2 linked regions of the Neurospora crassa OR74A genome follow. The main gene of each other region encodes a partner of the protein of the gene in region 2 in a complex. Links are inferred from orthologs where the notes say so. Each region holds a gene or a part of one and is shown on either strand. Other genes may lie near its edges. The genes, in order: NCU10747 and NCU04463.

Region 1 (15,737 bases), on a different chromosome or scaffold from region 2:
TGAGTCTCACCCCCCCTTCCTTTCCAACATTTCGTCCCTCTTCGGGCTATTGCGACCATACACGTCTAAAGTGAGTCACAGCCCGGGCCTCTGACACAACCCGCGAAATCGTTATCTTTAGGAACCCTTCAATCGCAACCGAACACCCCCTCCGACGTTCTGTCGACACATTTCAACATGGAGCAGGTTACCGAAAAAGTTACCGAGACCCTCAAGAAGGTCGCCATTGGCGGCGACAAGCCCCAGAAGGAGAAGAAGCAGAAGAAGGAGAAGGGTGCCCCCGCCGCTGGCGGCGATGCCGGCCCTCTTGAGATGAACCCTCCTCCTGCCTTTATCCAGGAGCGTCTCGACCTGTTCGACAAGCTTTACAAGGAGCAGCAGGAGGAGCTGGCCAAGCGCCCCCGCGATGACATCCTCATCACCATGCCCGACGGCACCACCAAGACCGGCAAGGCCTACGAGACCACCCCCGCCGAGATCGCAAAGGGCATTTCCAACAGCCTCTTCAAGCGCACCGTTGTCGCCAGAATCGACGGAGAGACACTATGGGATCTGGAGCGTCCTCTCGAGAAGAGCTGCAAACTAGAACTCCTCGACTTCAACGATGATCAGGGCAAGTTCGTTTTCTGGCACTCGAGTGCCCACATCCTCGGCGAGGCCTGCGAGCGCAGATTCGGCTGCTCTCTGTGCATTGGCCCCCCCGTCGACAACGGCTTCTACTACGAAATGGCTCTTCCCGGCGGTGCCGCTGTCCAGTCTAGCGACTGGGCACCCCTCGAGAACATCGTCACCAAGATCGTCAAGGAGAAGCAGCCTTTCCAGAGACTGGAGATGAGCAAGGAGGATCTGCTCAAGATGTTCGCCTACAACCCATACAAGCAACACATCATCAAGGACAAGATCCCCGACGGCACCAGAACCACTGTCTACCGTAACGGGCCCCTTATCGATCTCTGCCGTGGTCCTCACGTCCCCGACACCAGCAGGATCGAGGCTTTCGCCATCATGAAGAACTCCTCTTCCTACTTCCTTGGTGACGCCAACAACGACTCCCTCCAGCGTATCTATGGTGTCTCGTTCCCCGACAAGAAGCAGATGGCCGCTCACAAGAAGTTCCTTGAGGAAGCTGCCAAGCGCGATCACCGCCTCATTGGCAAGCAGCAGGAGCTTTTCTACTTCGAGGAGTGCTCGCCCGGCTCTGCCATGTGGCTGCCCCACGGCATGCGCATCAACAACGCCATCATGGAATACATCAAGGAGGAGTACTGGAAGCGCGGTTACGACGAGGTCATGACTCCCAACATGTTCAACGTCGCTCTTTGGGAGCAGTCCGGTCACTTGGCTCACTACAAGGATGACATGTTTATTCTCGACGTTGACAAGGAGCAGTTTGGTCTGAAGCCCATGAACTGCCCTGCTCACGCCATGATGTTCCGTCACCGTGACCGCAGCCACAAGGAGCTTCCCCTCAGGCTTGCTGATTTCGGTGTGCTCCACAGAAACGAGGCCAGTGGTGCTCTCTCTGGCCTTACCCGTGTGCGCAGATTCCAGCAGGATGACGCTCATATCTTCTGCCGTGAGGATCAGATCAAGGCCGAGGTTGCCGACCTCTTCGACTTCATGAAGTCCTTCTACGGCATGCTTGGCCTCACCTTCAAGCTGAAGCTCTCTACCCGCCCTGAGAAGTACATGGGTGAGATTGAGACCTGGGACCGCGCCGAGGCTCGTCTCAAGGAGGCTCTCAACGAGTTCGTCGCTGCTACTGGAGGCACCTGGGAGCTGAACGAGGGCGATGGTGCCTTCTACGGCCCCAAGATCGATATCGCTGTTTTGGACTGCCTCAACCGCCCCTGGCAGTGCGCCACCATCCAGCTCGACTTCCAGCAGCCCATCAACTTCTCTCTCGAGTACATGACCGCTGATGCCCAGGCCAAGCAGGATGAGGACAAGGCTGCCTCCAAGGCTGCTAAGCCTGAAGCTCCCAAGGAGGAGGAAGAGGCTCCCAAGGAGGGCGAGGAGAAGAAGAAGAAGGCTCTTCTTGTCAAGAAGCCCCTTACTGCCGGCTGCGCCCGCCCCGTCATGATTCACCGTGCCATGGCTGGTTCCATCGAGCGCTTCACTGCCATTCTTGCCGAGCACTTCGCCGGCAAGTGGCCTTTCTGGATGTCGCCCCGCCAGGTCATGGTCATTCCCGTTGGCATGGGCTTCCTTGATTACGCCAAGGAGGTTGCCTTGACCCTCAAGAAGGAGAAGATCCACGTCGGTATGTTTTCCCTGACTCACCCCCGTTATTGGGCAAACAAAAATCGAATACTGACACCAAAACCACCACAACAGATGTCGATAGCAGTGGCAACACCCTCCAGAAGAAGATTCGTTCTGCCCAGCTTGCCCAATGTAAGTCGCGAGCCTGTTCCCCTTTACCAAAATTGCCCCTTCTAATGACGCAACACAGACAACTTCATCTTTGTCGTCGGCGACGACGAGAAGACCAACCGCAAGGTCAACATCCGTTACCGTGACGACACCTCCACCCAGGCCCGTGACGTGCCCTACTCTCTCGAGGAGGCCGTCGAGAAGCTTCGCGCGCTCAAGGCCGATCGCGGCATGTACAACCCTTTCCCTGCCCATAACCCCAAGAAGGAGGAGGCTACCAAGGAGGAGGTCAAGGCTTAAAGCTCCAGCTCAACTTAGGGAGTACATGAAGCAAAAGAAATAACAAACTCAAATTTAAAAGTTCATGTTGGCAGCAAGGGGGCGGCGTAGGCAGGAGTATGGGTTATAGTCATCTAGCATATGCTTGTTACAGAACGGTAGAGAAAGAGGCGAATATTTTTGTTAAATCTTATACTAAGGAGCCTTTGATATTCTTTGGAAATGGTTTGGTGGTCTGTCGCTCGGGCGCACTGGTGCTTCTGCATAGACCTAAACACTGCATATCAGAAGAAATGATTTCGCGTAGACAGGATACGGACAAGAAGGCGAAGACGGGAAAAAGAGAGAGGGTATTTGTATTCTAAAATGGAAAAGCGTGTACACACTCGCACTACACAATGCAGCCAACCGGATAGTGACCAGAAAGGAAAATGGCAGGAAAAAAAAGAGAGCAGGCATGATAGTCATTTCAACAATTCTCAGAAACCCCCCAGACCCACGGCTAGTTCCTTCTTCTTCTTCTTTCACTTTTTAAGTTTTCTTTTTGTCTCCGCTTTCCATCTGTTAAAGAATTCCCCGTCTTTTGCTTTCCTGCCCAAGACCTTTCTGTCTCTCAATCTTCCCTTTCTCTTCACCGACGTTCAACTCGTAGCGGGCTTCTTCCTTATTGAAATCCAGGCCTTTACCTTTCCATAAACCAACTCAATCATCCCCGTCCCTCGTTCCTTGCGGCACAAGTTCGTAGACCCTAGTCCGTCTTTATGCTTTCAAGGCTTGGGAATATGAATGGTCTTGCTTGTCATCAAGCAGCCGTGGAGCATGAAGATGAGGACAATGGGGTGGAATTCGAGCGCGGTGCCCTGGAACATGGTACCCCACGGAAGTGAATCATGAATCCAGCCTTGCGACACCCAGTAGGCCATAATGGCGTCCAGACCGAGCGTCGTGGGGATCGGCGTGCCCTCAAAGTAGGCAGCCTTGCCGTTGGCGTCCTTCGGGATGGCGGTCGCGGTCACGTTAAAGCGGGCGAGGCGGGTGAGGCCACAGAGGATGAAGAAGCCAAGGCAGAGATGGTCGAGGGGGGTACGGATACCGATGGCGAAGGCGACGACGGCGGGTGCGACGCCAAAGGAGATCTGTTGGTTGGATGGGTTGTGAGTTAGAATGCTTGATGTCCCGGAGAGGGTCGGGGTCGAGGAATTGGGAAAGCGTGGGCAATAATGATGTACACGTACCAGATCAGCCAGCGAGTCCAGCTCTTGGCCCATCATGCTGCTCTTCTTCCTCCAACGCGCGACCTTGCCATCCATGAAGTCGAAAAACAAGCCAAAGGGGAGGAAGGCAAGCGCATAGTAGATGTTGGTCTTGTCGGCGGGGTCACCGAGGCAGTACCGCAAAGAAGAGAAGAGGGAGAGGATACCGCAAAGGCCTAGTAGAGTTGCAAAGGCGTTAGCATTCTGTGACCACGTCTTCTATGATATGCCAACTCGCGCACAAGTTGTGCGTCGATATCATCCTTGGGGAAAATCGCGGAGGTTGTGACGGTCTTGCTGCTTTGGCGCTTATAGCCCCAAAACCCAGCGTCACAAGCTATGCTAACCAGACAGAATGCGCGAAAGGATACAAGGAGACAAAAACTAACCATTCAATTCAGTAATGAGATCCGCGAGATGCATCGCGCGAATGAGAGAGAAGTGCCCCGCATCTGTAGAGAAGAGAATTTTTTGCTTGTCGTGAGCTACCGATTGACGCGCCATGTTAGCAACAGTTGTCTACCTTAAGCGCTCAAGGGCTTGCTCCTTTCAAACAGCGGATGGTAGATGATATCGAACAGGTTCGCATAAGGAAGGAAAACATACAGCGATCGAACTCGGCAGCAGCGGCGGAGGTGGAGTCGTCTTGGGTTGCGGCGCCATTGGCGACCGACGCATAGCTCGGCCGTTTCGACATGGTTGCGGTCGTAGAGATGGAGTGGAAAATTCACTTGGAATCTCGTGAATGGGAGAGATCAGATGGGTGTTGTCTCGTCGGGCGCTTGTCGTGTCTTTTATTTTTTCTCGGTTGGTTCTTGAGGGGGGAAAGTCGCCGGATGCAAGGAGGGTCCTGTAAATAAGAAGAAGAAAAAAAAAAAAGTTGATCAGCTGGTGCTCTGAGAGAAGGTGCAGCCTGCTAGTATTCAGTCGCCTCTGCATGCATGTGAAGATGGGATACCAAAGGGACAGCGGCAGGAGATGCTCACCAAAAGACTAGTTGAGGAAAGTTACTTTTACGGCCTTTTTCTTGCAAAGATGCAGAAGATGGGGAAGAATGTTTGTTGGTGAGGGGCTGGGACGAGTTTGAATGCCTCTACGTGACCACCTAGACCACGGCAGGACAACAACAAGGTGGTGGTATCCAAGTGCTTGTTGGTCACGGTGCCTTTCTGGTTTCGAGGTTCCCCCCTACGGGCAGTCCAGGTCAATGCTTCTCTGGAGGTCTGGATGAAGGGAATGACAGGGTCCTGCTTTTGTGGCAGGGGTCATGCCGTCATTCTGCGCAGCGAAATCTGGCCTTGGCGGGAGCCGGGGCGTCGACCGACTCGAGACCGCCTTCTCAAATCGTCCTTGGGCTGTTTGGCGGCCGCTTCTCTGCCGGCACGACTCGCTACCTTTACTTGACCGCCTGCCCTTCTCGTCCCGGCCGCGGGGACATTGTCCAAGATTACGTCACAAAAAAAGACGTGGTGATACAGACTTGTTAACCAACAACTTAAGCAAGGCTTCGAGACAATCGTCGATCGAGAGACCAGACGGATGGCGCGAGTCCTGCGCGTCATGACCTCCCAACACGTCTTTTGTCCTTGTTTCACTTTCAGTTTATCTTATTAACCTTTGTGTGAATGTGCTGCTTGGTTACTACCCGGCTTTGTCCAAAATCGAAACCCACATTCCGATCTTTGAGCCGTGACAAAGTCCTTTCCCCCTAACATCAAAACAGTTCGTCGCTCTACACTACGCACCCCTGGGAAATGACTGTACTGCAGAAACAACCCCAAGTACCTTCCCAGTTGACGGCCAGTCCACGAAGGGATGGATGTCTATGAACCGTTTCGCGATTTCACCTGTTCGTGTAGCTCCCTCAGCACACCACGCTCGGCAAGCTTCGTCACCCATTCATGAATTGCTGGCGTGTGGTCTTTTCTTCGACCAGGGTCTTCATTCTGAGCATCGCCGTCCTCGTCACCCTCCGGCCCAGACGCGACTTCTGTGTAGTACTCCGCCCGAATTTGCTCCTGCTTCTGGCGGAGCTCTGTTCTAAGAAGCAACGCTTCAGCCATCTCCATCCCACCCGTTTGTATATCATCTTGCAACCGACGAGCTTCTGCTGAATTTTTGATCATGAGTTTAGCTTCGTCAGTACTGAGCTGGAATTCGTCCAGCTTACTCTGATCGTTGAAGTTGCTGATATGGTCCTTGAACGAAGACGAGTCATTGCCTTCCTCGAACCAGGCCGATTCGCTTCGGAATGCATCATTGAGCAATTCCGTGCAATGGATGTTGACAGCGAGTTGACGCCGCAGTGCGGCCCGACGGTCTCCGCAAAGAGCGAGAAGGCTAAACGCCAACTGATCGGCCTCGTACTCCATCATCTTTTCTTGGATGACAGGTTGCGCTACACTCGTCCAGTGCGCCCCTTTCTCAAATTTGCCTACAATATTTGTTAGTCGCATCGTGTCTGAATTCTTTCGTTGAGTAGGAGAGACACACCGACGTAGCGGGGGTTAAACTTCAGCCCATCGAGTTCCCACACGCTACGGTCCCCGTGGTTTGGCACATATGCAACAAAGTGGTAGGCATCCTCCATCTCCTGCTCCTTCTTGCGGCGCGCTGTGGTTCTAGCCCGCTTTTTTTTGCTGTCCTCAACCTTGTTCTCGAGGGCCAAGGCTGCATTGAGAAGGTCCAGACGCCTGTTGAAACGTCAGCTCAAGCCGTTTATGCTCAGCCCTTCTGGGAAGCGGAATGCCGTACGTACCTTGCGAAATGATTATGAGCTACCCTGATCCACGAACTGTTACTGAGCAGGTGACCACGCAATGGCGGAGATAGCGGTCCAGATTCCTCCTTGAATTTGGATAGATTTATGTCCAGTGGAAGGTCTTGGGCGTTCATGATGATGTTGAATAAAGCGACTGTCGCACACGCGTTGTTGGTCGTCTGCCAACCAAGGTTAGCCACAGTCGAAAACAGAGGGAGGCGCCAAAGGACAAACTAATGACTTGCCTGGTTGGCGAACCATAACCCAAACTCCTCATCTGGCTCCAGATCTTCCTCCTCCTCTTCCATGACCTGGAATAGGAACACTAGGCCATACAGAGGTTCCCTACGCGCAGTCAGTACCTGTTGATACCCCTTGATGCAACATGGGAAGCGCCATCGACTCACGGGAGAAGGAGGAGCGATTCCTCGTCAACAGACAATACCTCCCTCACTTTTGCCTCCCGTATGCCGAGTAGTCTGAGAATACGGTTGAAGAAGACTGGGTCAGACTCTACGTCCGTCCAGCTTGGCCATTCTGCCAGCTCATTTTCTTGCCACGGTCCTAGCGAAGCCTCCAGGACGTCCATGGGCACGTCAAAGACTTCAGGGGCTGCCTTGCGCTTGGCACTTCGTCGGGGTCGAACAGCTGTCGTTGGCTCCTCTGAAGCGGGCGACTCCTTGAGCATCGATAATCGCTCGGGATCGGCTGACTCTTCCAGCTTTGCTGAGGCCTTCGAATCGAGTGACGCCCTCTTCCGGCTGGCCTTCACACCGGCAGACGAATTGAGTTCGTCGTCAGAGCTGAGTTCCGCATATCTTGTGTTTGGCTTGCGGGCACGCCCTGAGCGACGGGTTGTCGCCGGCTCACTATTTGGATCCATCTTTCAAGGAAAGTGTCGTGGAATGTACTTGATGGGTTCGACAAGCAGTAACCCAATCAAGCTGAGGGATGTATGTTGATAAGGCTAAAGAGGGGGGGGGGGCAGGCTGCTCGTCTTTTCCAGCTCTGGTTTTAGGGACAGTCGCCGTTTGGAGATAGTGTAGCGTGGGATCTTGCCTTGTGACTTGTAACCGTGAGACTCGGGATATGACATGCCGCGAACATTACAGGGAAGTCTGGTATGGAGGCTGTTTTGTTCGCTCCCAAAGTCGATGGGTGAATAAGGTAAATGATCAAATCTGAGAGGCAGTTCAAGTTGATGGAGGAGAGTACGCCGGGGATGTTGTAAGTGACTGCACCAATAACTCGCTTGCAATCAGTCCGATGAAAGTTTGGTGGATCAGCTCTTGGGTCGAGCCCAAACCGGCAGACTAACGAGCAGTGGATGTAGTGACGATCTCATGCGATCAGTAGCGACAAGATGGTGAGGTTGTAAAGAGAGAAAGAAAGACGGCCTTGATGGAGGTCGGTGTTATGTGTGTAAGTGCCGTCGCAGGCGCACACAGACACTTGGGCAGCTGCTACACTACATCCGGCCGGATACTGTGTAGTGTTAAGTATGTAGAGCCAGGTAGGTAGTAGACGGGAGGTACACTACCTACCTACCTGATGGCGGACCACCACTCCTGCAAGTGTCATCAACCTACCGTAGCATTTGTGCACCCCGGGTTTCACGGGAGCAATTTGAGCATCAGGTTCAAGTCTAGACACGTTTCGGATCCTTAAAGACGGCTACGACGATCTTATGATAAAGTGCTGCCCATCTTTGCCCGGTGAGCTACATGTTGCTCGACCTCTTTTGTTTACTTCCCCCTCCACTTTCGCTCAATACCTGGGTACCTACGTATTGTCCCATGCACTGTCTGACTGCTTGAAACAGCTGAAGGCAGGGGACCAGGTAAGCTTCAGAAAGCACTGACCAACAGAAAGATGGGGAAGGTTTCCCCATTTCTCCAATCACAATCGTCTAAACAGCCATTGGCACACGCTAGTAGGCCAGCCAAGCAGCACTTGCAGTGCGGGCAGCGACTGCAAAACCTCAAAGAGACCACAACCGCGTCTTTGACGTGACTTGTTAGTTTCCAGAGTGTTGGGAAATTTTAGGCCTGTCTCTGCCTGCCCGCAAACAGGAAGAACAAGAGGAAGACTGAGAATGCCTGTTTTGATGTCGGCTCTCCATATCACCACTACTGCCAACGACTGATTAACCACGCCTCTCTCTCCCCTCGTGGACCATTCATTCCTTCCCGTCCTTCGGCGATTGATAACAACGACAACGACGACGACGACGATAGCTACGAAAATCACGACGACAACCACAACGTGCACATTGTTGCGCCCCGTGGCCACTACCAAGCCGTCAAGCCTTCACAGACTCGGCATGCCATGGCAGGCAAGGACTCTATAGGCGGCTTTCCCATGGCCGGACCACGACGACCCGAAGCTGCTCCCGCGAATCGCGCCCGAACAGCAACGCCCAATGCCCTCCCCGTCGCCCCCCAGAGAAATGCACCAGCACCAACAGGCCCAGGGCCAGTGATCCCGCTTCACGTTATCGATGCGCCCACACAGCGCCTCTACGCCGTTGCCGTCTACGCGGCTCTTTTTGCGTGGAAGGTGTACGACTGGACCCAAGTGGTGGAAGAAAATACCGAGTCTTTCTGGCTGTTCCTCAAGTGGATCGCCCTAGACCTCATCTATCTCTTCGGCCTGCCCGAGCTTAGGATACCATGGCTCGAACTCTCCCAGTCCTTCGTCGTCTTCGCCTTTGTTGCCCACGCCTTGGTTGACTGGATGCTCATGTTCAACATCGGCCTCCCGTGGCAGACATGGCTGTTCGGATTTGTCAAGGTCTTTTACGACCGGGAGCTTGCCATTACCGAACATCAAGTCAAGGTGTCCAGCATCCTCTACAATCACTCCCTCCTCATGGGTAGGCAGATTATCAACATTCTCCCAGAAGGGTAAGTCATACCAAGCAAGAGCACTAGTGAAAAGGCCCGGCAAAGCTGACCATTCACCAGCTCTGTGGTGCTCAACCCCGAAAACACCCCGTACTGCATTGGAGGGGACACCAAGGTTGCCTCGATCCCTCTGTTCTTCAATGCGACAACTCCCATCGATGTCGAGATCATCCGCACCGACCTCGAGACCAACGAACACGAAGTCATCAAGTTGACAAGAAACCAGCTCAAGGAAATCAAGAATGAGGTCAAGAGGAACGCAGATGACGAGATCTTCACTGTTAAGTACAACTTTCCCGTCAAGAAGCCTGGTGCCTATCGATTGGGCAAGGCGCTTGACGAGTATAAGCTTGAAGTTCATCGCAGGACTGCCCTCACCTTTGTGGTCCCTTGCCCTCGCGCTAGCGTCGAGGTAGTCTCCTCGCCAAACCGCTGTGTCGGCGAGTTGTCTGATCTCAGCCTCTTGGTTGATGGCACGCCGCCACTAAAAGTCATCTATAGCCGCACCATCAACGGCAAAGACCACAGCTTCAACATCCAGAGCTTGCAGCCAGAGGGCTTCTCTTCTCCGCTCCTCGGTGCTTCGCGTAGTCTTGCGAGACTCATTGAGGATGATGACGTCTCCTGGGCTCGAGCTCAACGGGTCCCCGTCAACCTCAATGAATCCATGAACGCTGGTGGAGTCTGGCAGTATTCCGTCGATGAGGTCCATGATGCGTTCGGAAACGTTGCTAGGTACACCGGCCATGCTGACGACTTGGATCCCAAGACAAGGCCAAAGCATCTGGTGCAGAACCTCTTCGTCAAGGAGCGACCGCGTGCGCGTCTTGAAGGGTGCGACGTTAGAAATCCTCTCAAGGTTGCCAGGGGCGGTTCCAAAGATCTTCCAATCAGATACGAACTTCCTGGCCCCGTACCCGACGACACTACGTACACCATCAGCTGGCTATTCTCGCCGATTGACACCCTCACCAAGAGCGGTGACCATGGGGATGTTGTTTCTGTTGGCACCTACGACACCAAGAATGCCAGGGACCGGCCGAGAATCGCTGCGCCTGGTTTGTATACCCTCAAGTCGGTTGTTGCCGGACAATGCGAGGGAGAGGTGCAGGAGCCGTCTTCTTGCTTGCTGCTGAACCCTCTCGAGCCCAAGCTCACGCTGCGCTCGGAGGAGATTCCAGATACTTGCGCTGGAAATTCCATTGGGTTGCGCGTCGACATGGACCTCATTGGTACTCCACCCTTCAACGTCAGATACGAGGTCATTTCCAATGGGCAGCGTTCGGTGGAGCGTATCAAGGTTAATGGCCTACGTTTCCAGCAAGAATTCATCCCTAGAATTGCCGGACATCACAAGTACGTGTTCACACATATTGGCGACTCCATCTACGAACCTCAAAAGCTCAGCGGGCCCGAGTATATCCTCGAACAAGATGTCAAGCCAGCAGCTTCTGCCAGCATCATTCACAGCACTGGTAACATGGCCGCTTGTCTTAACGACGATGTCTCGGTGGATGTGCAGCTTCAAGGCGACGCACCATTTACGCTGGAATGGGAGATTATCCATGACGGCAAGAGAAAGCAGTACAAGGTCAAGGATATCCAGACGAACAAGTATCAGATCAAGACGGGCTCCCTTGCTAAGGGCGGCGAGTATACTCTGGCGTTGACGAGCGTCCAAGACAAGAGAGCATGCCGTAACTTTGTGCAGGATGAGGTCAAGGTCTCAGTGCGCCGCCAGAACCCAAGAGCAGCGTTTGGTCTTATCGATGCCAAACGCAGGACCATGGCAGTTGAGGGCTCGACGGTCAAGCTGCCGCTTCGCCTCACTGGAGAGGGCCCATGGAAGGTTTTCTACAGCAATGTCAACGATACCTCGAGAAACGCCCCCCGGGTCCTGGAAAAGACGATCAAGCACGACAATGACTTCCTTGATGTTCGCACCAAGGGTATCTTCCAGATCACAGATGTCTGGGATCGACAATGCCACGGCATTGTTGATCCGAAGGCATCGTCTTTTGAAGTCGACTGGTTCCCTCGTCCAGAGCTCGCCATTGTACAGTCTGCGCACGTTCAGCCAGATGGCACCAACAGCTTTGTTGTGAGCGATGTCTGTGAGGGCGACGTATCTGGATTTCAAGTTGCACTCAAAGGTAAATCTACTATCAGCCGCCCCATCAGGCACATTCCTTGGTTTCCCCACAGCCTGCTAATGTCTACACAGGAACGCCTCCCTTCCATGTCGAATACCAGATTCGCCATCAACCTGCGTCTGGGCCAGCTTCTATCAGTAGGAAAGATTTTGAAGCTGCCCTCGGCAAAGCTTCCGTCCCTGCAGACACCTCCAGGGCGGGCCAGTACACGTACACGTTCAACTCACTTTCTGATAACCTCTACATTAATGACCGGACTTTCAAGCCCGTGACTGTTAAACAGAAGGTTAATCAAAAACCCACTGCCGCCTTCGCCAAGCCCGGTCAAACCTTCAAGTACTGCAAGACGGACCAAGGTGAATCCGAGTCGATTCCCATCACTCTCAACGGCGTCCCTCCCTTCAACCTCGAGTTCGAAATCAGACACCAAAGCAGCCCGATTCCGGAAGTGTACCGTACGCCTGCAATCAACTCCAACTCGTACGAGATCCAGATCCCGCGTCACCAGCTGCGCCTTGGAACCCAAACGATTCGCATTCGCAGCGTTCGCGACGGCAGCGGCTGCCACTCGATCTCCGATTACACATCTGCCCACAGGGATACTCCCGATGGCAAGGCCCACTCGGTTCAAATCCAGCTCTTTGAGGCGCCCACCATTTATCCTCTCGAGACTCGCACCGACTACTGCGTCGGCGAACGTCTGGGGTACTCCCTTGCTGGTGCCGCTCCCTTCGAGGTTTGGTATACCTTCAACGGCGAGGAGTCAAGGGCCAAATCTCCCACCACGACTTTCCGCCGTATCGCCGAGCACCCCGGTGAGTTCACGATTACCTCGGTTAGTGACCGGGCATCCGAGTGCCGCGCTCCTGTCAACATCTCCAAGACTATTCACCCTCTCCCCGCGGCCCGTATTTCCAAGGGCAAGCAGGTGCAGACGGACATCCACGAGGGTGGCGAGGTCGAGATTCTTTTCGAGTTCTACGGAACCCCTCCGTTCGAGTTCACGTATACTCGCAGCACCAACCCCAAGAAGAAGGGTGAGCGTGCGACGGTGTTGGAGACCAAGCACGATATCAGCGAAGAGTATAGCAAGGTCATCAAGGCCAGCCAGGAAGGTGCATACGAGGTCGTGGCCATCAAGGATCGGTTCTGCGCGTTTTCGACGCAGATGCTTGGGGTGGAATATGTGGAGGGTAAGGATGGGCGGTTGCTGAAGTACCAATGATCACCTTCTTTGTGAAAATCAGAAGACAAAAAGGAGTAAGGCATGGGAGGTGGCAAGAAACGAAAAGGGGTCGGACATGAAGGGAGGAAGGCGGAGGAAAGAGAATCATGCAGGGAGTCTCAGAGAAACAATGCTGGGTGACACGGTGTGCTCTGGTCGGCTGGCCATGGCCACGTATGGCATGAAGTGGGCTGTTGCACAGCTGGAGGAAGCAAATCAAAAAAATTAACGATGGAAAAGAAGATGAGAGAGATAGGGTTCTAGGGATGGAGATCTGGTTTTCGTGTTTTCGTTTTTCTCTTTTTTTTTTTGTAACGAATTACTACCACTACTCTACATCCACTTATGTGTTTTTCTGTAGACTAAGAACATAGCATGGCGTTTTCTGTCTTTATGGGGAACGAACAATTACCACAACTCACGAGAATGAACGGAATAGGATATGATGGGAAGGCAGAAAGGGCGGGCGGCAAGGAAAAGGATTAATGAAAAGACTTGAAATCATGCTGAATCAGTGTTTCTGTTTCCGTGCGTCCATTCCTTGAAATCGAAAAAAAGTGTTGCAGTATTTCAAACGTGTTGTGTTGTCATATATATACCTTTCCATATTTCTATCCAATCCGTATCTTATGCAATGCTCTCTCTCTCTCTCTCTCTCTCTCTCTCTCTCTCTCTCTCTCTCTCTCTCTCTATACTTCTTGCTGAATTTTTGAATGGTCCACTTTCCTAAAAGCGACCAACTGCGCGAATGCGGACTCCATCCAGACCGGCCTATCCCATTCAAACTTTGTCCCGTATTCCTTCTCCTCCTGGTCTCCATCCATCCATCCATCCCCGGGGGAGTCTGTGCCTTCTTCGCCCTCTCCCCAGCTTACTTCATCCCGGAAGTCCTGGTTAGCCCCGTCACTACCCCCTCTCCCCATCACTAGCACTCTTCGCCCTCTTCGCAGGGCTCATATCTCCACTCGGTCGATGATGCAGCTTCTTGTTCGCCAGCACATCATCCCTACTTCTACTACCACTACTACTGCTACTACCAATAGTACTAATCTCCTGCAGGCCAAATAATAACGACCTAGCACCGGCTACCGGTGAGGAGCAGCTATTGCTTGCGAGGAGGGTTTGCTTCTTGAGGGAAGATGGCACAGGTACAGACAACACCGAGATCGGTGTAACCACTGGCACAGCAGCAGCACTCTCCAACCTATTCAGCGCCTCGGTGAGTTTTCTCCGAGCTTCGAGCTCTCTGTTGGTACTTGGAGAGCTGGAGAAGGATGAAGGAGGAGGAGGAGGAGGAGGAGAGGAGGAGCAGGTAGTAGTATTATAGGGGGAAGGTGACGATCGAGGTCGATAGAACTCTTTGACAATGCAGAGCGCGGCGTGGTAGACTTGGTAGAGGAGGAGGCGAATGCCGGCGTTGGGGAGGTCTTCGATCAGCGAGGAGATTATGTCGTTGTCGCTGTTGCTGCTGGCTTCTGTTGGTGGCGGAAGGCTGGATATTGTTGGTGCAGGTGCACGAGTAATGGTGGTTTGTTCGGTGATGGCTGTGATGGACATGACTCCTGTGTTGGTGCTGTGGGTGCTGGCACTTGTGTTTCTACTGCTGCCCCCGAGATGGTTCGCATGGGTAGAGGCAGGACCGGTTTCGAAACCTTCCATGAAGGATTCCGAGACGCCGTCGCTGAAGATGGTAGCTAATAGTGGATCGCCAAAGACGCAGTTACTCCAATCTTGAAGGCCGGTAAGCGTTAGTCGTCGTTCTGTACCGATGTAGTTGTCTGACGCGGATGATGCCGGTTGTGGTGCTGTCGTGTAGTTGCTATAGCCGTTTGTACTTGTCGTGCTCTCCACGGTGACCAAGGTGTTTGTGTCATCAGCCACGTCAATAACCACTAATCTCGGCGTCTTGACCTCGTTGAGCAAGTGTTCAAACCGCCTGAAATGTCTTCGTATCTGCGAGTAAGCCATTGTGACCGCCATGTCTTCGCCGTCTCTTAGAACACCCTCCAATAACGACTGAAAGGCAGTTGACCAATTCCTTGCTCCGTCGGCTGCCACCAAGCCGCCTTCTCCAAGCCCAGCCACCTTGTCCGAAAGCTCTATTCCTGGCATTTTAGGGATGACGACCGCCACGGGGCCGAACCTGCCCGACGGTGAGGTCATTGACGAGAGGGATCGGTAAAGTTGGCCGAGATGCTTATCCAAACGTTTACGCTCCAAGTGGCTGGGGGGAGAAGGTAACAAGGCAACAGGAATGCCATGTTGATTCTCGAAGACGTTGTAGGCTGACCCTAGCTCGACCGGACCGTGACTTGAAGTATGTACGAGGGCCGGGAGGAATCTCTGAAGTGTTGGGCTTGTAAAGCTAGTCAAATGGTTTCTGGCAAGAGCATCCCTGATCCATTGAACTGTTGCCGCTTCGAAGCCTATTATGAATTGTTCGTGCCTCAGGCGTCTGAAGAGGACTTGTGGCGGGAGTGAAAGGAGGAGTGTTTTGCCGTCAGAAAGACTGACTTCGAATATCCTTTGTGGTCGAAGGGAAGCAATGGGTCGCAAGCTATCGACCTTTACGTGACTGGGTATGGTCGCGCTGAGGGCAGCCTGTACCGATTGTTTCGACGGTTGTCGACACATAGTAAGACTGTAGGGAAGGATATGTCCTAGGAGTAAGAGGTTGTGAATGGGAAAGATGTGATTTGGAAGGTCGACGGAGGGGACGACTTTCAAAAGACAGTCATATCTCTCTTGATCCAAGAACAATGCGGCCAAAAGGATCCCTTTAGG
Region 2 (15,676 bases):
GCAATTACGTTACGCGTGATTAGCTCATCACTGCTCGTATTCTTTATGAAGAGTGTACACTTCTCGTCGCAGATGGCAAAGATCATATTTCCATGTCTTCGGCGGTGTAGTTGCAAAGTCCGAGCTGACCAAAGTCAGTGTTGCCCTATCTTTGCCGCGGTCAAAATTCTTGGAACACATCGTACCTGGTCAGATCTGCCGGCCTTATACTGGACATCGAAAACCCTAGCCTGTGCCTCAAACGACGTACTCGAATCCGGCGCATGGGCATAGTAAACTCTCACACGGTTAGCCCCGAGGAGGTCCAAAGTCTGGCCGATAATGGTGGCTGGTGCTGGTCCGCGCTTCATCAAGGTGCGGCAGAGGACGGTCAGCGTTCACCTTCGAGCTAACGATGAAGGCCTTATCAGCTACTTTGCTTTGGCCCAAGAGCGTCTCGGTATTCCATGTGTTGCCCGGGTGGGCGGCGGCGGCGGAGTCGGATTCCAAGATGTTGAGCTCTTGCAACACTGACCAAGGTTTTGACACTTCTTCAGGAGTGTCCCGTGTAGAGGTGAAATTTCTGGCAGTGGTACCAGAGCACCCTGCTCCCAAGGTCAGGCGAGGTGGCATCTTGCTAAAGGCCCCTTTACTGTTGAGACTGCGGTTGGCAAGTGTCCATGATCAACTACATAACACTGAGCTATTCGAAAGTTCGGAGGACTCGCTCTCTCCAAAAGAGGCAACATGCTGGTCGTCTCATGACAGCTTAGGTCTTCGCAATTTGCATGTTAAACGCTTGGTAAGCTCTCGAAAAACCAAAACATACCACGGCTACCGGGCAGTTGTCAACAGACCAGTTCAGTGTCCCAATATAAGGCCAATGGGTGTGACTTTAACACTTGTACGGATCGCAAAACGAGGCTTGCTTCTGTATGAATTGGTGTTGTAAGAGTGACGGACAACATGCTTGTAACCCGCTGGCCGTCCAAGATGGACATATCAGAACCACTCACGAACACCTCAGTGGCTACACCACGAACAATGGAGATGACCGAGGAGATACAAAACAACCCCACCATGGCTTCGGCACGAACAAGCTTGTAAAGCTGCGTCGATAGAACGTCACACGCAAACTGCATGTCAAGCGTGTTACATGTGCGATTGTGACTTCGGGTGATTTGCTGGTCATGATCATTATCTAGGTATCTATGACTTGCCAGCTTTTGGGGATGGAGGACACTAACGAGCTTCGAGGCATTGAACTCTCAAATCCATCCGATGATATCAGACATCGGTGACGACGACTTCTACTGTTCAGGCAACTTGAAGCACATCCGTTAACAAAATTTAGCAATCGAACCTGACAAACGAAAGAACACTGAGCTTAAGACTTAAGATCGACTGAAGAACTCTTTACGAAGCCTTCACATCAAGATTTTTTTCACGACAAACACGCATCACAGACAACTATCGACATGCATGCGCAATTCTAGCTTGGTCGGATCACCTTGACGTTCAACCTTGGCCAGAACCATCCTCTCATCCCAGCGAACTTGCATATCTCTGACTACTCTCACAACCCATGAAAACCATGATGCTCCTAGCCCGGAAAAAAACCTCCACGGAAGCCGGCTGGATCGTTTTCGCCGTCATCTTTTCCACCTTCAGCTCCGCGCTCATCATATTCCTCTGCTGGCGAAACACCCGTGGTTCGAGCAAAAAAAGCAGCAGCGCACAACAGCAAAGCGGGAATTCAGAGTCAAGGACAATATCCAGGCGCTCCGTACGCTACTGGTACTATTACCCAGAGTACTTTAGTGGTTACAATGGATCTTCAGAGTCATCAGAATATCATTATGCAAATACCGGGAGGGAATATCATTTGGAACAAACTCCGAATTACTACATCTATCCGCCGACTTATCCTCCATGCCCAGATCCACCGCCGCCCCCGCCGCGACCGCCGAGGACGCCGCCGCATATAGCTGTGTACAGAACTAGGCCGGTTAATGTGATGAGCTTTTTGGATCGAACACAAATGCGGAGGAAGCCACCGCCGGTGACAGAAGTGACTTCTCCAGAACGGACGAGTACACCAAGTCACGAGAGTGGCTCGTCTTCTTCAAGCGATTCTGGGCCTGATGAGCCTCTTCCGGATGGGGATGGACCTCCACCCAGTGGCCCCTCGGGCAGTCCCTCGGACGGCCCTCATCCAGATGGTCCTGCGCCTGGCTCAACTACACCTGCTGCGAATCCCATGGGTGTTCGCTCGCCCAAAGAAGACGGTAGCGTGATCTCAAAACAAGACGTTTCAGAGGCGCAGGCAAACTTCAGCAAGTTAATGTCAGAAGCAGGTACGATCAGTGAGAGGAGTGCATCTTCTCAGGCTGGCTCTGAGAAGTCGACGTCACTGAATCTCAGTCATCAAAACATGTCAAGGGATTCGAAAGCATCAATCCGGGAACCATTTGTGAATGATGAGTCGAGAGTACGGTCACCTGTATCAGAATTACGTTCACAACACCCACACTCAAGCTCGGAAGCGGAATCTCAGCGTGACAATTCCGCAAGACGAATTTCAGGTGTTCGTTACGTGAAGGCTCCAACGAATGCGTCGTCAAAAGAAAGGCGCCGTTCCATGGCAGTATCACCGCATGGCAGATCTCCAGCATCATCAAACAGCAACTCACCCACCGCAGCCCTCAGAGACACCACCCCCAAACCGAGTTCACATGCCTCACATTCGTCATCAAAGCCCTCCATACGCTCCCATACATCACGCAGGCTGGACCTCAACCCATTATCCCCCGGCTCTCGCGCCCCCTCCCACCACTCGCTGCGCTATGCGGCCTCCAGACACTCAAGCCCGCCCCAGTCTCCTACACGATCCCATCACTCCCAGATTCCAAGCTCCCCGAACCGCCACAGTCGCAGCTACAGCCGTAGCCATAGCAATCCTACCTCAAGGCACTCAAGCCCCCCTCAGTCACCTACACCGCCTCATCAGTCCCCGATTCCACACTTTTCAGGTCGTCAGAGCTATGGCCGTCCTACTTCACGACACTCCCCAAGATCACGCTCCATCGCAGGGTCAGGGGTATCTTCGATGCCCCCATCGCCGACAGTGACGGATTTCGCACCTATCTCTGCAATTTCCCACCCGCTTCGCTCTCCAGCTCCACCTGGCTTTTCTCGTTCCTCGCTTTCTCCCGCTTACAGGTCGGGTGGGTTTAAGGCGGCGTTGAGTCCACAACCAGATGAGCAGGATGAACGGAAAGGGTCGCGCCAATCATCATCGAGATATTCGAGACACTCTGGTGAGAAATCACCTTCAGTAGTGTCTGTGTCGGTTGTGGAGCTGCTAAGTTTAGAGAAGGAGCAAGATGGTGATGTTGGCATGGGGGAGCCAATGTCTCTTTTGGATCATGAGGAGTACGAGGAGAGTGAGAAGTGCGGGGAAAGACAGGGCAGTGAGGATGTGATGCTGGATGAGAATGAGGTTCAGCGGCGGGGTCGAAGAAGTGTCTCTGCAAATTCACAACAACAACGAGGTATGGATCTTGCTGAACATGAAGAAGAATCTGTGGAAATGGGACATGACCATGACAGCCACGGCGACCAGGATCCAGAATCAGAACCAGAACCAGAACAAGCACCAGAAGACTACTACACATCTTACTCACCTGTCGCTCCTGCTTCCATTACCAACCCTATACCATCCTCCCCCAACCTTTCGGGCCACTCATCGAACCTCTCACCAAAATCTCCCTATCATCCTCGCAAATACATACCAATTCAGGTACCCAAGGAGAACCGACCGCACCAAGCTAGTGTCTGTAGTGTCTCCGACAGCACTGATTCTGGGATTGGTGGCATAGGCGAGGCTAAGAAAGGGTGAAGATGAGGATGAGGGTGAGTTTGATGGGTTGGAAGTTGGTTAGTGGTGCTTGTGTGAGGTTGGGTGTCAGCGGAAGATGAGTGAGTGAAGTGGTTGGCAATGTTTGACTTGTTTGGAAACCTTTGCGGTGATGGTGGGACAAAGCGAGAAGATTTGCTAGTAATCAAGGAGAGAATTGGTAGTAGTTAGTGATGGAGTAGATGGGGAAGGAGTAATGGAAAGAGTGAACGAGAACAGGGAAGGGATGCAGACGATTAAGACCATACATGACAAGAGAAAAGGGAACAAAAAGGTAGCGGTGCTAGTAGTAAGTTTATTTGAAACCATCTTCCAACATCTTCTGTCACTATCGTTACAGTAGCCGTAGAGTTAGCCAGCAGGGGCGTACGTATCTCCTTCCTTCCTTCCTTCCTGCCATCCCTCCCAAGTCTGAACCTGCCCACTGCCCCATGCCATCCTCTGCCAGCAGCCTCCTCGTCACTTATCTCCAATTCCATCCAGTCGATAGGGGTACATATGGTACCCCCTCAGATCTTGTTTCTACTAACAAACCCAAGAAAAAAGCACGGTTAGCGCAATGGTCTAGCGCGCCACTTGGGTTGAGAAACAGAGTTGGAATCCCCGTGGACTCACAGTCAAAGACCGAGTTTCAGAGGGAATCGGAACATGAATCACCAGATAAAGACCCGGGCTCGAATCACGGACCGTGCAATTTATTTACCTCCTTTTTTCTCCTCTCCCCTCTCCGCGTCCATAATTTTTTTTTCTTTCTTTCTCTTACCTTGATTGCTGGTCTTTCGTTAGAAGCGCAGCTCTTTTCCCCTACTCAAACTCGTTGAAGGTTGAGGGACTTGGGTTTTGGACGTACACGGTCTTCAGCATTGACACCCCCGGTTCCTGCTTTTGATCTGGTTGGAGACTGAAGGGACTCTCAAAGGAGATTGTCGAGTAGAGCTTGATCTCAGTTAGCCATCCATGGATGCAGGCGTGTTTTCGTGCCATGCCTCTGTACTGGCACCTAGAACTATTCGAAAGAAGTCCCCGTTCTCTTTGCTTCCGCTTTTGATGATTCAAGGCCAGACGTAAAAGCGCAAAACCACCCTCTCGAGCACGAGTGTTTATCCTGAGAGATCAAGTGAAAAGGGGTAAAAGTGGAGACCGACCAGCATTTCACACACACATCGACAATATCAACTCAACCATCTTCATGTACCAAGACGCAAATGAGAAGCCAAAGCAAGCAGGCCCGGGTGGTCTAAAGTACCAGAGAGATGAAACGTGGAGAAAAAAGTCACATAAATACTTTATGTACAGTACACATTAACCAAACCAACCAACCTACCCACACACCAAAGCCATTGGTACCAATCTACTCGACAAAATGCTAGAAAGAGGACCACGGCGGATAGTATCGAAAACACCTACTTCCAAGGTCAATCAACAATGTATCGCTTTCTCTTAATTCTGGTTTCCTTCTCTTCGCCACGCCATCTTCATAGCGATATTTTCAAGGCCCCGACACAAAAGAGGCAGCAATATTCAATATTCGTAAACATAACTCACAGCAACTCCCTCGCTTCCATGTCTCAGGTAAACCCCCTCTTCCACTTCCCCGGGATGCTACCCATCATTGAATCCTCCCCTGCCGCACCACAACTCTCATCCGGAATTTCCTCCACCGTGGTCTTATACGACGTCCGCTTCTTCTTATTCATGGGCGTCTTGGGAGTCGTTGGATTCACCTGGTCCTACCTGGTGCTGAACAACAGACTGCCCTGGGCCTCGGCCTGCGACAGCATCTCCACCTTCCTCTTCAGTTCTCTCGTGTCCCTCCTGGTATCCGTGATGCTCGCCGCCTGAGCGGGGTCCCTGGTGCCGGCCGCAATCGCAACCAACGCCTCCTCGGCCCTCGTCAACAGCTCAGCCACCCAGGTGGTGATGGCGCCGTCGCCGTTCTTACCCGATGCCGAACCGCGGTGCTCGATCTCGCGGATCCACGAGTCGACGACGCAGTTGATCCACTGTACTACCAACTTCCTGTGCTTGCCAACGAAGGGCGCCTCCTGAGCGTCAAACATGTTCTCCAGCACGCGGGCGATCAGGGCATGAGGAACGCCCAGCTGCAGGAAGGCAGCGACAGGCCAGCAAGGGTCAGCACCGATCGAGGCGTCCTGGTGGTTGTTGATGGCGTAGGCGCAGACCATGGGGAGAAGAGTGTCGACGGGGAAGATGAGGCTGTCGAGGGAGGTGCGGTGGGCAATGGACTGGATCTGGGAGACAACAGCCTCGTAAGGCATAGGGGGTGGAACTTCAAGAGCCTCGACACCCTCGGGCAATGCCTCGCCTGCCTCAATGAGGCGCCACACCTCTTGCTTCTGCTCGGTCTCAAAGTGGATCTGGTTGATGAGATTCTCCCACGTCTCTTTGATGGTGTGCGGGTTCTGGTAGTCCGCGGCGTTGTAGATGAGCAGGCAAAGGTCGTAGTATCCGGCCTGATCGGCGAAATCGTTGAAGAGCTACATGGTACAGATTAGCAACTAAAATAGCATCATACTTTTAGGGATTGACTCACAGTAGAAAGGCCCTGGACAGGACCATCCAGAACCTTCTCGATGTCAGGGAGCTTCTCAGGTACTATGCGAGGATCGGCCCTTAATCTCTCAAGCAAATCGTCCTGGATGTGGGCAATTTCCAGAAGCTCAGTCACTTCGTGGTTGAGAAGCTGCTGCTGCTGGCGACTCACACCGACAGTGGTGACGCTGGCGTTGGCCTTTGCTCTGCTCAACAAGGTAATGCGTTCCTTGATGCCAAGGGGGAAGTCTGACTTGGCGAGCTCAGCCTGCACTTGAGCAGCCTCGAAGAAGCGGCTGCGTTGTGTGTAGAACCGGCAAAGAAGATCGGCGTGCTGAGCATCAACCGCAGCGAGTCTCTGCAGGTACGTTACGACATGAGGAGAGTCGATGGCCAACATGCGGTCGGTCCAACCCTTCTCAATGTACCAGTCGTACAAATCAAGGTGGAAGACCTCGTCGTCTGAGCTATTGACGACGCTGTATGCCTCCGCCCGCTTGGTGGCAGCAAGAGTTGGCCTACCGTCAACAACATCGGGCTCTGAGGCCGACTCAATCTCTAGCCGGTCAAGGACCTCATGTATCAAGGAATAGCAACTTTGCCGGTCCTTGAAAGCCTTTTCACGGGGATCGTTAGCCGGCTTGCCTTCGTTGAACCAAGCAAGGGCCGCGTTTCCACGGTCCTTCTCTCGCGCAACTATCAAGCACAGCTGGATAGCACCAGCGTAATACTTCAAATTGATGTACTGTTCGACCGCGTTGCGCAGGTTGGTCATGGTCAGGCTTCCCGCGACCTGGGAAAACAATCGCAAGCTCTCCGCAAGCAAGGTGCGCATCAGGTTAGGATTGCCCGATGACTCGCTGGCCCGCTGCAGTTGTTCTTGAGCCTTGAAAATGACAACGTCATCAGGGGAGCAGAAAGTGCCGCATCTTCTCCTGAGTGCATCGGCAACGGTCTCGACATTGGCTCCGTTGGCAATGTTGCGGTTAACAATAGCCTTCACCAGAACCTTGGCGAGCTCCTTTCCAGAGTCCTGAGAGAACAAAGCTTCATAGGTAAGGTTTTGCAGCTGTTGCTTGGACGAATCATCTAGGCGCATGAAGATGTCGGTTACCCGCTCATCGAACAGCATCAAGACGAAAGAGATGCCCTCAGACACGCTGTCCATAAGCTGACGCAGAGCGTGGAGAGACTGGTGCTCCAGCTGCAAAGCGATCTCCTCTTGTCTGCTAGAAACCCGATCGGAGGGTCCGGCCAGGCCCTGGATGAGACTTTTGTTTTCCTCAAGGAATCTCCTTAGTCGTTGCACACTTTCCTGTACCGTCATGAGCTTGGAGATGGGAATCGCCGAGCCAACAGTGAACCCGCCCGAAGCGCTATCCGTGGCTATCTCAATGACCTTGGACTTCCATAGGGTGCGGGCGAGGCGCGCAAGATAGAGCACCAGCGCATCGTGGCGAGCCGAGAGCTGTACGTTGTCCTCCGGTGCCTGCAAAACATCTGCGTCCGCAAGCTTGGGCTGACCACCGTAGTTGATGAAGATGGACCGCGCCCTGTCCTCAGTAAGAGGATCCACAGCACGACGGGCGTCTCCTCCTTGACCACATGCTACCGCCAAGGCAGCCGCGACCATTTCGACCCTGCCGTAGATGGCCGTAAACGTTTTCACCTTGCTGTCCAAATCCTCATCGCCAGATGCGACACGAATCGCATTAGCGAAGATGTCAACAAACCTCCTGCGGCGAACGATATGGATACCGGTGTTGGTGAGCACAGCGAATTCGCTTGGGGTATGATCGAACTGAACAGCTAGCTCGTTGCCAAATCCGAGCGGTTGTTTTGCAGCCGCAAAAGGGTTGCCAGTAAGACCGATGGAAAGAACTCGGCTTCCGTCACCCAAGGGGATGAAAGTACCTTGCTCAACATATCTGAGTACAGCGCTCTGCTTAAGTCTGCCGACATCGGGGGCTGATACAAAGAGCAGATCCGTGCGACTCTCTTTGGGTCGAACCGCGTCGAAGAAATAACCCGGAGGAAAACGTTCACCAAGGCAACTTTCCGAAAGTAAGCCAGACATTTGATCTTGAGCTGCTGCAGGTGCAGGTGCATATGCAACTGCAGTGTTGATCTCGTTGCGGAGGGGAACCTGCTGGTCTTCGCTCGTAGGAGGAAACTTGATGTATTGGACCTGCATGCTCTGAGGAGCAAGGCTGGTTGAGGCGCTCAGCATGTAGGATGCCGCGCTCGTCGCAGTAAGGAACAAACGGCATCCGGTGTTGGTGAGTGCCATGAGGTGAGACTTTGAGGCTTCTTGTGCCGAGATGGCGCTAAGAGAGACGATTCTCACTCTCTCGTTAAGCAAAGGGTTTCTGTTCAAGTCAACCATATGCGTCATGTCACTAAGGCACGAGACCTTGTTCTTTTCGATGACTTTTGTCAGTTTCCCAGAGGGCTCCATGAAGTATGTTCGAATGGTGGACTTGTCCGAGAGCGAGTATAGGAGTTTCCGAGTATCATCGACAACCAGCTGAACAAGGTGTTCCTGATCACGGTGGCCCAAGAAGCCCATTGGCACTGGGAGGTTAGGAACAACTGATGTCCAGCCAGGGTGTGTGTGGTTGACCTTGGCACATCTGCTAGAGAACCAGCGCTCCTCCTGCTGGTAAAGGAGCTCGTAGATGTCGGTATCGGTATAACCGCCAAAGAAGATACGGCCGTTCGAGGTACCGATGATTAAGCTGACATCGGTGCTTCCGCGATGTACTGCCATTTTTGTTTGGTAGAGGGCGACGGTCTTCGATCCCGAAGGGGTAGGTGTCGCGGATACGCCCAGCAAAACTATCTCGGTGCCCGTAGCAACGACTAGAATATGGGTGATGTTACTAACGAACACGCCAGGTTTGGGGGGCACTAGGGCAACCGCGGTGATGGTGGTGGTGGCATCCTCGTAGCCGATAAGTTCGGGGTTTGGGTGGGTATAGTCCCAGAGAAAGAGGGAGCTGTCAATAGCAGCCCACGCGTAGTTGATGTCGGCAAATAGGCCGAGTTGCGTGTTGACCTCTCCCCTGTTTAACCGCTCAAAGACTTGATCGGGGATGGGATACATATGAGTCTTCTTGAACGGGGCGCCGGGCGCGTCATCAGTCCTGTACATGTCATAGTCCGAGGAGGAGCCAGCTATTTGGGAGAGACATGGTTAGCCAGTCCTACCAGGTACCATGAGGGATGGAAACCTAAACAGGTAAGCTCACCTCTAGCATAAGAATCAACATCGGGGTAGTTCTCGTCACGTAGTAGGGTATTGGTGATGCGCCGCGCGGCCTTGGCAACCGGTGGTAGATCTGTGCGAGCTTGAGCTGGCACCATTGGAACAGGCACCTGCGAGACGGGACGAGGAGCAGCAACAGTTCCAGCACCGGCGCCGCCAACAGAGCCCGAAACGGGCCCAGTCACGGGTCCGGAAGCAACTCCGGCACCACCAGCATTATAGGACCCGAACCCTCCTAGCACCGGCCTCGCAGTGTTCTTTTCAGGAAGCGAGTCCAAGTAGCGTCGAGCATCATCGGTCCTGGGCGCAGCGGGCGTGTTGAGGAATGCACCGGGCACTTGGCGCATAGGTGTGGCTGGATTCATGATGGCGGATATGTGATGCTAACACCCGACAGGACGATGGTGGGATGGCAGCGGGATGGTTGTCGGTGCCACCTGCAAAAGCGGTTCAGAGTTCGTCGCGAGCGTCGAGGGGAGGGGAAGCTCCAGAACGAGGCGGATGGAGGCTGATGGAAATCTGGCGTCGGCACAAGTTGGAGCTCCAAGGGTGCAGCGTGATCTGGCAGCTTCGTGATTCTCCGCGCTTTGCTGTGATGCTGTGTTGTCGCTCTTGCTTCGTTTGCCCTCTTGCTTCAGGTCTCCCAAGTTGGTTGGTTGGTTGGTTGGTTGCTTGAGGTCACAAAGTCGAGAGCGCGGTGCTCGCTGCAGTCGGTGGGTGTACTGCTACAATTGCACCACCATCAAAGAAGGTCTGGGAATCCAGGGGAAGCTATAAAGTCCAACACGATGCGACGTGGTCGAGGAGCAGCGACCACAGCTTGAGGTGAAAGCGGTTGAGTTGTTGTTGTGGTGTTGAGAGCAAGGAAGCTCTGCGCGCGATTGGGCAATCACTGTCGAAGGTGGACTGTGGATGAACAGCAGAAGATTGAAGAGGCTGGCCCGCTCCGGCGGCGGGCTACCGTAAACAATTTTTGGCTGGAGAACTGGGACAGCGGTACGTACCTCTACCGCGACCGGGCAGGAATCATTGGTGCCCAGGGCGGTCGTTTCGCGGCTGGCAACTGGGACCTGCGACCTGAAACGCGAATTTTGGACGCGCCTGTGTGCCGGAGCAGTTGGACGGCGGGGACCACAGAAGAGGCGCTAACCTCTTTTTGGAAGCATGTTTTTCTACCGCCTATAGAATGTCGAAACCGTCCAATCATCGTCGAGAACGTCATCGAATGCCCGTCACTAGAAGTCGGATTTGCAACTCAGAATATCAACTATAGACAGACAGCAACTGCTCTTGATCTGTACCAAAAATACATTGTGCAAAAATATGGTTGCTTCATGATCATCGTTCAATTATCATCTTTTAGCTTTCTGTACATTCCACTCACATTATGAACTCGTCTGCTAACAACGGGCCGAAGTTTCTCATTTTCTCTACAATAGATACAGGGTCCGAAGGGTGGATGTAACGCAGGCCAATGGGATGTGTCTTTTGGCTAGAGCCATCATGCCACAAGTCCATGCTCCTTCCCAGCTTCACGTGAGAAACATGGTAGCTAGAAGCTGCGATATGCGCTTACTGCTTCTTGGCTTCACGAGCGGCCTTGCGGAGAGCGCGGTTGCGGATGTCGATGTGCATGTTCTTGTTCAGCCTGAGGGTAAAGTAGCTGTAGGCACCGACAGTGTTCTCAACAACCCACTTGAACACAGCATGGCTCCACCAGGGGGTGTAGGTGTTAGGAAAGGGCTCGGAGCTGTTGAGGCCAACCTTGCCGAGAGCAGCGCGGACGAACTGCTTGGGGTTGGGGATGAGGAGGCTGGTGCGGCGGATCTTGCTCATGGCAGTGGTAACGAGGTAGCTGACAACAAGGTGGACATCGACGCCCTGGTCCTTGAGCTCGGCAGAGAGAGCGCTGCTCCAGTGCTGGAGGAACGCCTTGCTGCCGCTGTAGGTGGCAAGGTAGGGGGTGGGCATAACACCGGCGAAAGAGCCCATGGTAAGGATAAGACCCTTCTTGCGCTGGGCGAGGATGGGAGCGACAACCTTGGTGGTCTTGAGTGTGCCGAGGCAGTTGATGGTGACAATGTTCTGGAGCTCGTCGCGGTCGGTCTGGAGGAAAGGAACGGGGATGCTGTGGGACTGGCCAACGTTGTTGATCAAGATACCAATGTCGAGGCCCTTGATGAGCTCGGCGAGACGCTCGTAGTCGGAATCGTCGTCCTTGGAGAAGTCCATGGCGAAAGTCTTGGCCTTGAAACCATCCCATCTGAGCTCGAGCTCCCTAGCAAGGACGTCCAGCTTGGACTGAGTGCGAGAGACGAGAACGAGGTTGAAGCCCTTGGAGGCGAGCTGCTGGGCGAACTCCTTTCCGAGACCATCGGAGGCACCAGTGATAACAGCCCAGGTGCCCTTCTTGCCATACTTGCGGAGCTGTCAAGGTTGATGTTAGCCACATTCACCTGACAATCTTCAGTCCCAAGTAAGTTTGCGAAGAGACGTACGTTGGTGCCGCTCAGGATGAAAGCGTTAAGGAGCAGCTGGAGGAAAGCGCCGACGCGAGTAGCGACGTAAAGGGCGCCGATGCCAGCAAGGGCCCATTGGCCATATTGAGGGACAGTGCCCCAGATCTCGGCAACCTTATCCATTGCGTACGGACTGTCGGCGAAAGTCGTTGATGAAGGAACGCCTTTGGTTTGAATCGGGGAGTTGTGACACTTTCAAAGTTGGGTCCGGTCGCAAATAATTGTTGGGAACTTTTTGGAGGACCTGGGGTCGACTCGCCTACTATGTACACTTGCATGTGTCAGCCGCCAAGATTTTCGAGACGTCCCGCCCCGCGGCCCCGGCGAGAGGACCTGGGCAGCTGGGTTGTCCCCGCTTTTGCCGAACCATCACTCACTCGACGCCGCCATTGAACTCCGACGGAGCTGGCCATGGGCCAATGGATAGAGGAGAAGGGGGAGCCTGGCGGATTTTGTTTGTTGTCTCCAAAATGTCGTCCAATGCCCGTGGACCTGCGTCCATGATGCTACGATGACCCCTGTCTCTCGCGCTTGAGAGTGGCCCGAAGTGTGGTTTCCATCCGATCCTCGAGCCGCTGGAACAAATGGAGAGCTGCAACAGGAAGGGCAACTAACACCTCAACAACAAAAGGTCTTCTCAATACAAATATCCTGGACTTACGATAGCTTTCTTCCCTGACGACAAACCGCTTCATAACTGTTTGAACCAAATGGACGCTATCAAGGCTTTCCTGCCTTCGGGCGAGAAGGGTCTCCTTCCCTACTACCTCTTCTTTGTAAGTTGACGGTTGCTGGTCCCCCTGACTCTTCACATGGTTTCGCAATTAACACGCCCTTCGTCCAGGTCTCCATCGTAGCTATGGGAAACGCCCTCCAAAACTACACTACTCTCCACTACACGCGACGCCTTTACAACGGCCGTTTCGTCCCCAACCCTTCCCTGCCGCCCGCAAAGGGCAAATTCAGCCCGGAGGACAGCGTGGACGTGCTGAAGCCCGTCTCGCCCTCAGAGGCGGAGAAGAAGGAGGCGGCTGCCAAGGACCAAGTCACGCCGCTGGCGGCCCGCGTCTTCGGTACCTACACCTTTATGGCCGGCATCATCCGCTTCTATGCGAGCTACAACCTCGAGAACGAGTCGTTGTACAAGCTCGGTATCTGGACCCATGTCATCGCCGCCGTGCACTTTACGAGCGAGTTCTTCATCTACAAGACGCTGCGTTTCAGCGGACCTCAGATCTTCCCCTTCTTGGCGGCGTATGGCGGCACGTTGTGGATGGTGTTGCAGTATGGTTACTACGTCCAGTAAAAGACAGGTGCAGCTACCAGCTGGTCTTTGGGAATCAAAGCAGGAAGCAGTACATGGCCCCCAAAAAGGAATGGCGAGTGGACTCGGATCATGACCATAAGAAGCGCGATCGCGTATTAGGTGAAATAAGACTCCGACGATAGGCTTTGTGGAAGATGTACCACTTATTGATACCCTTTTCGGTCAAGAAGCGAAGCAAGCGCATCATACATTTCCACTACTGCAACGACTTGCGATAGAGCTCACCACCGCAGTCTCTGAGTCGCGCAGCCGCTTGCTCCGGAGTGATATCCCTCTGCGGCTCAGCCATTAACTCGTATCCGACCAAGAACTTGCGCACGGTAGCAGACCGAAGAAGTGGAGGGTAGAAATGCATATGGAACCAGCTCGTCTCAGCCTCTTCCTCTGTGCAATCCAACGGCGCCTGATGAATACCCGAGCCTTCTCATACCGTTAGCTCCTTTCTCCCTTTCTCTCTCCTTCGGGCAGTTGCAGAGGGTAGTAGAACTTACTATACGGAAAGTTTGTCTCGAACAAGTTATCATATCTTCTCGTAACCTCCTGCACCGCCTCGGCAAACTGCAGCCTCTCCTCGCTCGTAAGCTCCACCAGCGCGCGCACATGTCTCTTCGCAATGACGAGCACCTCAAACGGCCAGACAGCCCACCAAGGGCAGACGACCAAGAACCCGTCGTTCTGCCAAACCACACGCTCGCCCTTGGCCATCTCCACCTTGACGTAGTCCTCCAGCAGATGCCTCCCCTTGTGCTCACGGTGGTACTTGGTCATCTGCGCCAGCTCCTTGCCCGGCTCCTCGGGCAGCGTGCTCGTCGTCCAGATCTGGCAGTGCGGATGCGGGTTCGAGCAGCCCATGGCCGCGCCCTTGTTCTCAAAGATCTGCATGTACCGCAGCTGCTGCTTTTTCGCGGGCTCGACTTCGCCGTCCGGGTTAGGTGGAATCTCGCTGAGTGAACGCGCGGCGGCGTCCCTGAGCGGATGCGAGGCAGACAGGTGGCTGGCGTAGATGCGCGTCCAGGTCTCGATCACGGGTACGATCTCGGTCGCGCTCATGTCCGCCAAAGTGGTGTCGTGCTTGGCGGAGAAGGTGAGCACGTAGCACCGGCCGGTGGCGGGCTGCGCTTGCAGGAGGAGAGAGGCAATGTCATCGTCGCCGTCACCAGCGGCGTCCTTCCGAGGGTGGTACTCTTGCTGTTCCTCTTTGACGGCGCTGTAGTCGTTGACGAAGGCGAATGTGTTTTTGTAGTGCGGGTTGGAGTCGCCTTGGGCGCGCTTGTTGCCGGGGCAAAGGTAGCACTGGGTTGCAGTTAGAGTGAGTGAGAGTAATATAAAGTCATGAAGGGACGGGGATTACGCACCTGGGGATCATACTCAGGAAGCTTGTTGAGGGCTGGAGCCTCTTGCTGTCCTCTGATTGCAACTCGTCAATTCAAACTAACCCGCTGTATTTCTTTATTTCCGGTGTGGCTATCGAGGACTCACTGCCATGGCCTCTTTGTTCTGTGAGGCGATACAAGCAGCCAAGAGCCGTTGAGCGGGTTGTAGCGACGATGCGAGATGTCGTCAAGCACTTTGTCGGTCATGGTTGCGCTTCAAGAGGCTTTCAGGAAAAGAGTAATGTGGGAATTGGAAAAGAAGGCTTGCGATCAATCAAGGGTGTTGATTGGGAAATCAATTTTCTTATAAGTGAGGTGTTCAATAATGTAGATTGGTGGTTGGTATTTTGCACTTTTGAAGTGTATTGGTAGTCATATGCTCGGGGATAGCATCCCCGAGGCAACCTGGTCACACTTACCGGATTGTTTTTATGGGTACAACGGCCGGGTAGCAGACAAGATGAAAATGATCCGATCTGTTCGGTGTTCTTCGGCCTTATTGCCTAGAAGCACCCTACAGATCAACGGACCGTTTATTTACAGGAATGAAGTCGCTTGCCTGATAGTGATACACTGGCTCAGACTGGTGTGCAACTTTTGATGAGCATTCGAACTCGCTTCTTTCCCGAGTTTTCTGAGGCGCAAAAGGCACTGTCATTATCAGACAGCAGCCTGCATCAGGATGAAATTCATATTCCATGTGTACCTGCCTACTTCAGCTACTGCACTGTTATGGAA

Evidence for each region.
Region 1: NCU04463 (region 2) and NCU10747 share a complex: the UniProt entries of both Saccharomyces cerevisiae proteins name them as parts of the nuclear pore complex. The link is inferred for Neurospora crassa OR74A from reciprocal best matches to the Saccharomyces cerevisiae genes NUP170 and POM152.

What each region holds. Positions count from the first base shown.
Region 1 is NC_026507.1:2,684,560-2,700,296, reverse strand, and holds NCU10747 (hypothetical protein), read left to right. Parts: upstream 1-8,649; 5' UTR 8,650-8,997; coding exon 8,998-9,575; intron 9,576-9,635; coding exon 9,636-11,728; intron 11,729-11,799; coding exon 11,800-12,953; 3' UTR 12,954-13,462; downstream 13,463-15,737. Other genes in the region: NCU02380 (threonyl-tRNA synthetase, variant 2), read left to right, coding at 178-2,263, 2,338-2,397, 2,456-2,676; NCU02381 (phosphatidylserine synthase), read right to left, coding at 3,423-3,791, 3,891-4,084, 4,298-4,393, 4,515-4,605; NCU02382 (hypothetical protein), read right to left, coding at 5,732-6,342, 6,402-6,601, 6,667-6,848, 6,915-7,014, 7,077-7,552; NCU02383 (hypothetical protein), read right to left, coding at 13,860-15,587. UniProt on the Saccharomyces cerevisiae protein: Functions as a component of the nuclear pore complex (NPC).
Region 2 is NC_026504.1:3,267,982-3,283,657, forward strand, and holds NCU04463 (non-repetitive nucleoporin), read right to left. Parts: upstream 10,660-15,676; 5' UTR 10,085-10,659; coding exon 9,703-10,084; intron 9,629-9,702; coding exon 6,453-9,628; intron 6,397-6,452; coding exon 5,629-6,396; 3' UTR 5,159-5,628; downstream 1-5,158. Other genes in the region: NCU16813 (hypothetical protein), read right to left, coding at 289-612; NCU04464 (hypothetical protein), read left to right, coding at 1,574-2,336, 2,490-3,880; NCU04462 (3-ketoacyl-CoA reductase), read right to left, coding at 11,292-12,146, 12,218-12,361; NCU04461 (transmembrane domain-containing protein), read left to right, coding at 12,949-13,014, 13,083-13,544; NCU04460 (galactose-1-phosphate uridylyltransferase), read right to left, coding at 13,762-13,985, 14,057-14,858, 14,921-14,972, 15,045-15,145. UniProt on the Saccharomyces cerevisiae protein: Functions as a component of the nuclear pore complex (NPC).